Coturnix japonica: one gene and its partner. The protein of the gene in region 1 interacts with the protein of each later gene in a pairwise test. Links are inferred from orthologs where the notes say so. Each region holds a gene or a part of one and is shown on either strand. Other genes may lie near its edges.

Region 1 (4,095 bases):
AATGTACGGAGTGCGGAGATGGAACGGCTCGCACACCGTGAGGTGTTTCACCTGCTGCTGCTGCCGGAGCCGTTTCTGAAACTTCTGGTGTAGCCGGTCAAAATCTGGAACGCTGTGTTGGACCTTGGGTTGGCGCTCCGTTTCCTTTGGTTCAGCACACTTGTGTTTCTTCTTGTTGGCATCCTTGGAAGCCAGCCTGCTGGTGGGCACAGATGCATTTCGCAGCAGCTCCTCAGCTCTCATTCTAATCCGGATTTCTCTGTAGAGCTCTTCCTCCTGCAGCTTGTCTCTAACAGACGGGCTATAAACGCACCTGGGAACTGGCTTTGCTTTGAATGGTTTTGTTTGCCTTTCAGGTGTAGAGAGGTCTCTCAATTGCATTTTTCTGATTTCATCCCTTTGCTTCTCTCTTTCAATGAACTTAAACGGCTTCTGAGAAGCCAAGAGCTTGAGTTTGCTCCTCTCCTTCACAGTCTTCCTGCGCTCCTCATTCCTTTGCACGATCTCACGGTAGAGGGGCAGGAAGACGGCAGCGGGCACTGGAGTGGCTCGGAACTTTTTCTGACACTCTGCTTCTTCCTCCAGCTGCTTCTTCAGTAGGTTATTTTCTATCTCAATCTGTGACTTGGATTTGACATTCTGTTCTTTTCTTCTGGCTTCTCTAATTGTCATCTGGAAAGGCTTGGGCACCGTGACTTTTGGTGACCATGCCTTCTGCTTCTGTCTTGTCCTGGCAGCCGGGGCTCTGGGCAGGCTGTGCTTCCTGGGGGGAAGGTAGTCATCCACCGAGAAGCCGTCCCACATCCTTGCAATCCTCTCCTTAGCAAATAACAATGATCCGGTTTCACTGCAGCTGTCTTCAGATGGCAGTTCTCTGTTGGACTCACCAGACACACCTGAGCCAAAGGGATCGCTAATGCTGGAGTCAGAGAAGGATCTGGGCAGACTTAGAGGCTGATACGTGCTCTTCTCCCAGGTTGGCCTTTAAACAGAGGGGAAAAAGAGAAGTTGGTTTGAATCCATTCCAGCATTGATTTGAAGGCAGTAAACTGTTTTCAGTGCCCTCACTAGAGGGAGAAAGATGAAAAGCACTTGCAGGGTATATAGCAAACTGCTGATCACAGCCTGAACCTCTGATTGACCACCTGAGGCAAGCAATGAGTCAGCTGGGGGAGCACAGGTGAAGGTAATTCATCTGTGCTACCAGAAGGAGTTGAGCCTGGCTGCACCTCTCCCAGATCCCATTTAAGGGCTGACCACCACTAAGGCAGGATCTCTTTGTCTGGAGATTGTTCCTGTGTGGAGTTTACTGCAAACCTTCAACACTGGTGAGCGTTTCCCATCATCATAGATTATCTTTCTATCATGATACGAAACATCTGTTTAATCTCTGTTTACTTATTGACTGTATAACTGCACAGAGGGTGAGAGAGGGAAGGGAAAAGGGTAACAAGGCACTGTGCTTTATTAAATGCATTGCACAGATTCTGCTGTGGGCATACTTGTGAGTGTGACAGCCTGCTAGCAAAGTGAATAAGCATTGTAAGAACTGAAGCTGACCTCGCTGTAATTATCCCTTTACAGGAAAGGGGGAGAGCAGCAGTTCCCAGCCGCAGCACATACCTGCCCCATGTACTGCAGCCTGCAAAGGTCCTCCAAAGGTACCACAGAACTTACCTACAGCAGACATAGGAAGTTGCACTGTTAGTGTTGTTCCTCTCCAAAAGCTTCACTCCTTGTAGATACAGCTTGTTCCGATACATGCTTTCTAATTTAGCCATGGTCTCCATGTGGGCATTCTTCAGCTCCTCCAGCTTCAGGTAATATTCCTGGTTCGAGGTGCCCAGCTTGGAGAGCTCTGTCTGTGTGTCACAGCCTGTGCCCGGGGCGATGGGCTGCTCGCTGCCAGGGCCCGGCTCTGTGCCCAGCTCCCCCTAGGGATAGAGGAGGCATTTCTGTGTCAGGCTTTGTGGTTCAGAGGGAAGAGGAATGAGGTTTATAGCGCTGCTTCATTTTATTGTCTCATGAATGAAATGCTACCGCCGAATTTCATACCTCTTACCTATGCACAGACTTTAACACACGCTGCATGGAACAGTCTTCCTGCAGTGCCTTATGGCTTGAGACTGCCGTTTATGGGAAGTTAAATAACGAAGTCTGTCCCTGTGAGCCCTTATCCTTGTATCGGGAAATAGATCCAGAAGGATCTTTTGGAAGGGAAAAGTCCTTTTCTTGCTTAGAACACAGCTCTAAGACAGCCTTAACCGGCACCTCCCCCGCCCGTTTCCATAGCCGCTGTAAAGCGAAGCCCTCCGCTGCTCCTCCTAAGCTCCTTACAGCTCTGCGGCCCATCTGCTCCGCGTCCCACCGAGCCCGGCCCGGCCCCGCCGCTCCCTCCGTTACCTGCGCGCTGTGCTGCGGATCCCGTGGGTTGTGGGCAGCGGGCGCCCGGCTGTGCGGCTCCAGGGGAGCACGGGGGCAGGCGGCGGGCGGCTCCGCGCTGTGCGGAGCCTCCATGGCTGCGTGCAGGGGCGGGGACGTGTCGGGACGGGAGAGGCGGGGCCGCAGGGCCCGGTACCGCAGGGCCCGGTACCGCAGGGCCCGGTACCGCAGGGCCCGGTACCGCAGCCGGCTGCAGGGCACGGGGCGTCTGGGGCTGTGTGAGGGGGCGCGGCTGGTTCCGCTCATTGGTCACCTCCCGTTCTAAGAGGTTTGAGCTCCAGACAAATGGGGGATTATTAGTGAGTACGGGTAAACTAAGGTCAGGAATGGTCTTCTACCTCTTGGAGGTGGAATCATTGAGCACTGAGCCCTGTTAGCACCATGGGATGGCCGGGCCACAGCCCAAATGGGGAACACCTTGTAATGGGAAGCAAAGCCTGGATCAGCTAACTATGCTATGTGAGCTGCAATGATGTGGAACGCTAATGTAAATGCTAATTTAATTCAAACTAGTGAAGTCGACCTCCTTTCTAGTGAAATCATCAAGCAAAGACTCAAGTAGACTGGTGCCTGTTTATTGATAAACAGCATTTCCTTTCCGAAACCAGGAAATGTATTAAATTAACATGAGAAAAGTACATATAAGCATTCGTGGACTTTTAAGACAATTCACACAGGCGCTTCTGGTGAGGAAGCTGCAGCTCAGACCATCTGAGGAGCTGCAGAGCACAGTCCCAGCTTCCTTTATCCAGCTTATCGAGTGTTCACCTGCAAAAGCACAACAGCACATGTGAGAGGTCCACACAATACAGTAACAATGACTTCTTTGCTTATGTATTGTTACAGTCACTGCAACATCTTGCTTTAAGGTACCCTGCTTATGCCAATAGCAGTTTAATTCTCCCGTGCCCTGTTTTTAGATGACCAAATGGTAGAAACAGCTGATAGTATCATCTGTGTTTCCACCTATTCTGGCATTTATCAACAAGAACGTGATACAAACGCTACTCACCACATCGTCAATCTTAAGAATGCTGCGCACAGTTTCTGTTGCCAGAGTCAGGGCGCTCACAGACACGAGCAGCGGCTGCACCACCAGCTCCTCCAGGATGTTGGAAATGCCACCCTGCAAGAGGAAGGCACCATCACTTTGTGCACGTGAGCCTACAACCACGTTTAACACCTTCTAATAGGATCCCAGAAGTGATGCTGTGCTGAGTTAGACTATCAATTAGCTTGCACGCTTCAGTTCTCAACAGGAATATTACTGTAAAGGGCTGCTGCTGAGTATCTGATGTATCCACTCAAAGTGAGCCAAGAGAAAAACCAGCCATAGCTGTTAGCAGTTCAAACAAGACGCTGTCCCAGCAGTACTGCATGTACTACCCCCAACCCTTCTAACCACACCTGCCTGCTTTAAGTTCACTGTGACTCCAGCTGGAAAACTGTTTTTGAAGAGAAATGTGAAGGTACCAGAACGCCATGGATGTAGAATGAGAACCTGCCATTAGCAGTACTCAGGGTAAGTTCCTAACTTTAGCAAGAATTTTGTTCTCTGTATTTCAGATTTCAGGTAGTACATCTTCCTTTTAACAGCCTATTTATTTAAGCTACAGAGTTCTATGTACAACTTCTTCATTACCTTTCTGACAT
Region 2 (4,135 bases), on another chromosome or scaffold:
ATTTCACTTCAATCACCTCCAGGGTACAGTGACTGTAGTTGTTTCATATTAAGAAATAAGTCATCTGAACACCCAGCTCCTTTCTGAAGGGAAGCAGCATGAGTATTGCTAGATGTTTCATATTATTATGTTTAAAGATGCATGCAATTTAAAAACTAACATAACGTGATGAAATCAATCCTGTGTTATTGCTAAAATAGTAACTACACTGTGCAGGTATTACATGTTCCAAATTCAACAGATTTCTAACGTTACTTTTCACCTCCTTCCCATTACCTGGGTCTGACCAGGTTTCTCCTGCATGCAGGCAGCCTTGTTAGTTCTCATATGGGTAGGGATAGCATCACTAATGGGAAAGAAGCAGAAGGAGGTTCAAGAAAAACCCAGATTCTCTTTAAGATGCCTGAAATGAATACATGAGACATACTGCATCACCCGCTGTTCTAGTTAGACAAGAAAACATTCTCAGTTTTCATGTGATTAAGATGCCCTTGTTTTAAGGTGTTTCTCATCTCCTTCCTGCCCTTCCCCAGTTCCCTTATCAGCTGGTTGCTGTAGCAGACAGAGGGCTGTTCCCAGACTGCTTTGTGCTAACCTTCACTTTGGCAGCATGTCTGAAGTGAGCACTTGGTCCAGATACATAAACCAAAGACTGAATTCAGACCAAACAGAAAAATGTTCCCATTCACTTGTCTGTGTAAGCTGTAGATGTCCTGCTCAGGACAAACAACAGCTGTGGTATCCATTACATGTACTTTAAGGTAGGAAACAACGGGCTGTAGCTGTCAGATGCTTTGAATAATGTTTCTGGAATTTATTTACAACAAATCACCCTGCATACAAGTTCTTGTTAGAGCTGGGAGCCGCGTGGCTCGCTGCTTTACACTTCGCAGTTTATCCTCACATAGCTTTTTTGTTGTAACACCCCTTGTTAAGAAACACAGCCTATTTCAGGGCTTTTTCTCAAACTGCTACCCCTAGAAAAGGAAAGAATTGAACCAATCTGACCTGTTCTGAAGTTAACAATTTATTGTGCACCCGTGTCTCTACATTGCAGATACCTACAGTCAAATGTAGAGTGCATTCTCCTGATACAGGAGAACACGTTTGTCTGAGAGTCACTCTGTGATACTAGAAGCACGCAGCACTTTTATGTGAACATCCTACAACAATTCTGCTTTTTTCCTGTTACCTGTTGGCAGCGTTTCTGTAGCTGAGCAAAAGACAGAACGTGGTACTAAACTCTTATTTTATGCTTTCATAGCCCATCTAACAAAGCAATTCAGATGATTTTTGTTCTAAAAGTAAGTCTATTCAGTAGTAGAATGCCTTTGTAGTACAGGATGTCTAAGTTGAAGTCTAACTGTAAAATTAAACTAAGTGGAAGTTTGTCCAGCTGCTGCCCTCCCTGAGCTCCTGGGCAGGCTGTGAAGGGCTGCAGGTTTGTGTTCAGTGATGTGTCCTCACAAACGCACTCCTTGATTTCTACACGTGCTCTGGTTGGTGGGTTGTGATAAGTTTCACTAGTGCCCAGCCTTGCTGCTCCATTTATGTGCACTTGTGTTGCTTGGTTTTAGAATGATGACTATTTTCCAGACTGTACAAGTCCACTATAGCAGGACGTTTCACAGATGTTCCCTTAAGGAACCTATCTGCATTTCAGCCTGCCCATCGGTTCACTTTCTCCTTTCCCTCTGGCAGGCTGTCAGTGCCTTCCACTTGGGCTCGTGAGAAGCTGATCCTTCGGAAGAGACGTTCCAGGTGCAGGGAGAGCAGTCAGCGACCCCTGGAGCGGAGCAGTGCCCAGCCCCGGCCGGGAACCAAGGGCGAGTATTCGCTCACGGTGGCAAAGAGCGAAGTTGAAGCAGCACGGCAGGAGAGCAGCACGGCTCCACCATGCACATCTTCTACCCCACAAATAACGACGCGGAAAAATACCAAACCCTGACTTCAGATTTTCAGCTCATCCCTTTGACAGCAAACAATGGCTTCAGCACCTCATTTCAATGGATCTCTTTATAACCTGTGGCCGCGGCAGCATCCCGCACACACACACACAGCACGCGGAGCAGCGCTGCCGCCTCGGGACGGTTCCCAGCGCTGCCCTGTGCCTCGTACGGCGGGTTCCGACTCAGCTCCCGCACGGAGCAGCCGCCCGTCCCGCCCGGTCCGAGCTCCGGAGCTCCCGGCTCGTTCTTTCCATCGCCGCGTCCGCCGATGTCTGTACCGCAGATCCATCGCCGTGTGCCCGCGGCTCAGCCGGTACCGTTTCTCCCTCCCGCGTGGTCCCGCCGCCCCATCCCGGCCGTGCTCCATCGGGCGCAGCCCCCGGAGCCGCCCCGCTGCCGGCAGGGCCGGGCACGGCAGCAGCCGCCCGTTCCGTCAGACAAAGCCGCACCGTGCCGGTACCGGCGGTCCCAGCTCCCGCCCCGTGCTCTCCCCGCCGCCGCCCCGCGCTCCTCCATCCGCCCCGTCCCCTCCGCCCGACCCCCCGCCCCGCCGTGCCGTGCCGTGCCGTGCCGCCCACCTTGCTGCAGGTCCTGCTGGTCGTACCACGGCTCATCCTCGCGGATCTCGAACTCCTCCACCAGGCTGTCGGCCAGCATCGCGCTCTCCCCTCTCGGTCCGGTGGCCGCGCTCACCTCGCGCCGGGCGGCGGCGGGGCCGGGCGAGCCGGCAGCTCGTCGCCTTACCAGCCGGCTCCGGGCATTGCCGAGCGGTTCCGGACTTTGCCGAACCTCTCCCCCTTCTGGTCGGGCCGCGCGGAGCCGCCGGCGACAACGTGGCACGGAGCGACCGCCCGCCCACCGCCGGGCCGCGATTCAAACACTACGCCCCGCCTCCTCTGCCGACAGCCAATGGGGAGCCGCCCGCAGGGCAGATCGAAAGGAGCGCCGGCCAACCAGGAGGCGAGTCCGTGGCGGGCGGCCAATGAGAGAGGAGGAGGGGTCGGTCCCGCCTGGCCGGCCCCGCCCCAGCGTCCCGCTGCGCGGCCTCCGGGCGGAGGAGGTCGGTGGTGCCCGCGGGAGGGGCGGCGGGAGCGGGGCCGGTGACGGGGCCGGGGCTGGCGGTGGTGTCGGTGCCGCGGGTTGTCTCGGTGCGGCTGAGGCGGCACGGGGCGCTGGGAGCGGGGCAGGGCGTGGCAGCTGCCCGGCCGTGCTGCTGCGTGTCCCCGCGGGGCGTCTCCTCACGCGGAGCCCCTCATCGCCTCGTGAGGCCCCTCAGCCCCTCAGCTGCTGCCGCTCCCTGTGAGGGCTCTGACAGGACGGCTCCGTCCCTTGGCTCCCTGTGCCGCTCTGTGCGCCCCGCAGTGCCGGGCAGCCCAACCTTCTCCTCCCGGCTCTCCCTGAGCGGTGCCGGTTCTTTGCTGTGCCCGGCGCTGCAGCAGGAGCAGCCGTTGCGCTGTGCCTCAGCCCGCAGCGCTTTGTGCTGTGCGGGGCGGCTCACGCGTGTTAATTGCTGTACAATTAAAGAGCACGTCTGTGGGGCAGGGAGGTGTGTGGGACCTCAGCTCCTCCAGGAGCCGGTTCATAAACGAGCCGTGCCAATAACGCAGGGAGCCGAGTCAGACCCTGCGCGCAGCTGTGAGTCATGGCGCTGGAGGCGCATTGTTCGGAGCCTTTTGTGAAACAAACGATACTTGGGAGTTTTCTGGAGCGACGGGAGCGATTTGTCTCTTATTCGTGCGTAGGAAGGAACTGAGTCAATACGGCTCGAGAATGTTAATGCCCAGCGTGTATCCGAGGGAGATGCCCGCGGTTCTGCACTGGAACCTGCCCAGGGTCGCAGCCCCGAGGTCTCACATACGTTCGGTGTATTTGTGAAGATGTGGATACACCTTCTAACAAGAACACGATGTTTTCAGTAGCGAATCACCCTTCACGTTTTCTTTATATCCCTCTTTTGAAGCATGAACGTTTCACGCGGCCATCGTTTCAATGCTGTTGTTCTTTGTAGGTTTCTCGGTTCAGTTTATGAAGCCGAACTCGTTGGGGAGGTGCAAAGTGTAATCACCTGGAAATGGGAAATTCCGTAACAGATGAATTTGATGACATGCATGACGGCCCCGCTCAATTATCTGCAAATTGAGTCATGTTCTTACCGATAAATGACCTTTGGATGTTGTTAGAGAATT

Evidence for each region. The genes of interacting proteins can lie anywhere in the genome.
Region 2: the proteins of FAM161A (region 1) and CDR2 interact in binary tests that used the Homo sapiens proteins (3 or more experiments, as listed by UniProt). The two-hybrid records come from large-scale screens. The link is inferred for Coturnix japonica from reciprocal best matches to the Homo sapiens genes FAM161A and CDR2.

Annotation. Positions count from the first base shown.
Region 1 is NC_029518.1:13,367,213-13,371,307, reverse strand, and holds the start of FAM161A (protein FAM161A), read right to left. Parts: upstream 2,812-4,095; 5' UTR 2,689-2,811; coding exon 2,404-2,688; intron 1,935-2,403; coding exon 1,678-1,934; intron 983-1,677; coding exon 1-982. Other genes in the region: CCT4 (T-complex protein 1 subunit delta), read right to left, coding at 3,196-3,210, 3,455-3,568, 4,085-4,095. UniProt on the Homo sapiens protein: Involved in ciliogenesis.
Region 2 is NC_029529.1:8,363,007-8,367,141, forward strand, and holds the start of CDR2 (cerebellar degeneration-related protein 2), read right to left. Parts: upstream 2,818-4,135; 5' UTR 2,607-2,817; coding exon 2,528-2,606; intron 1-2,527.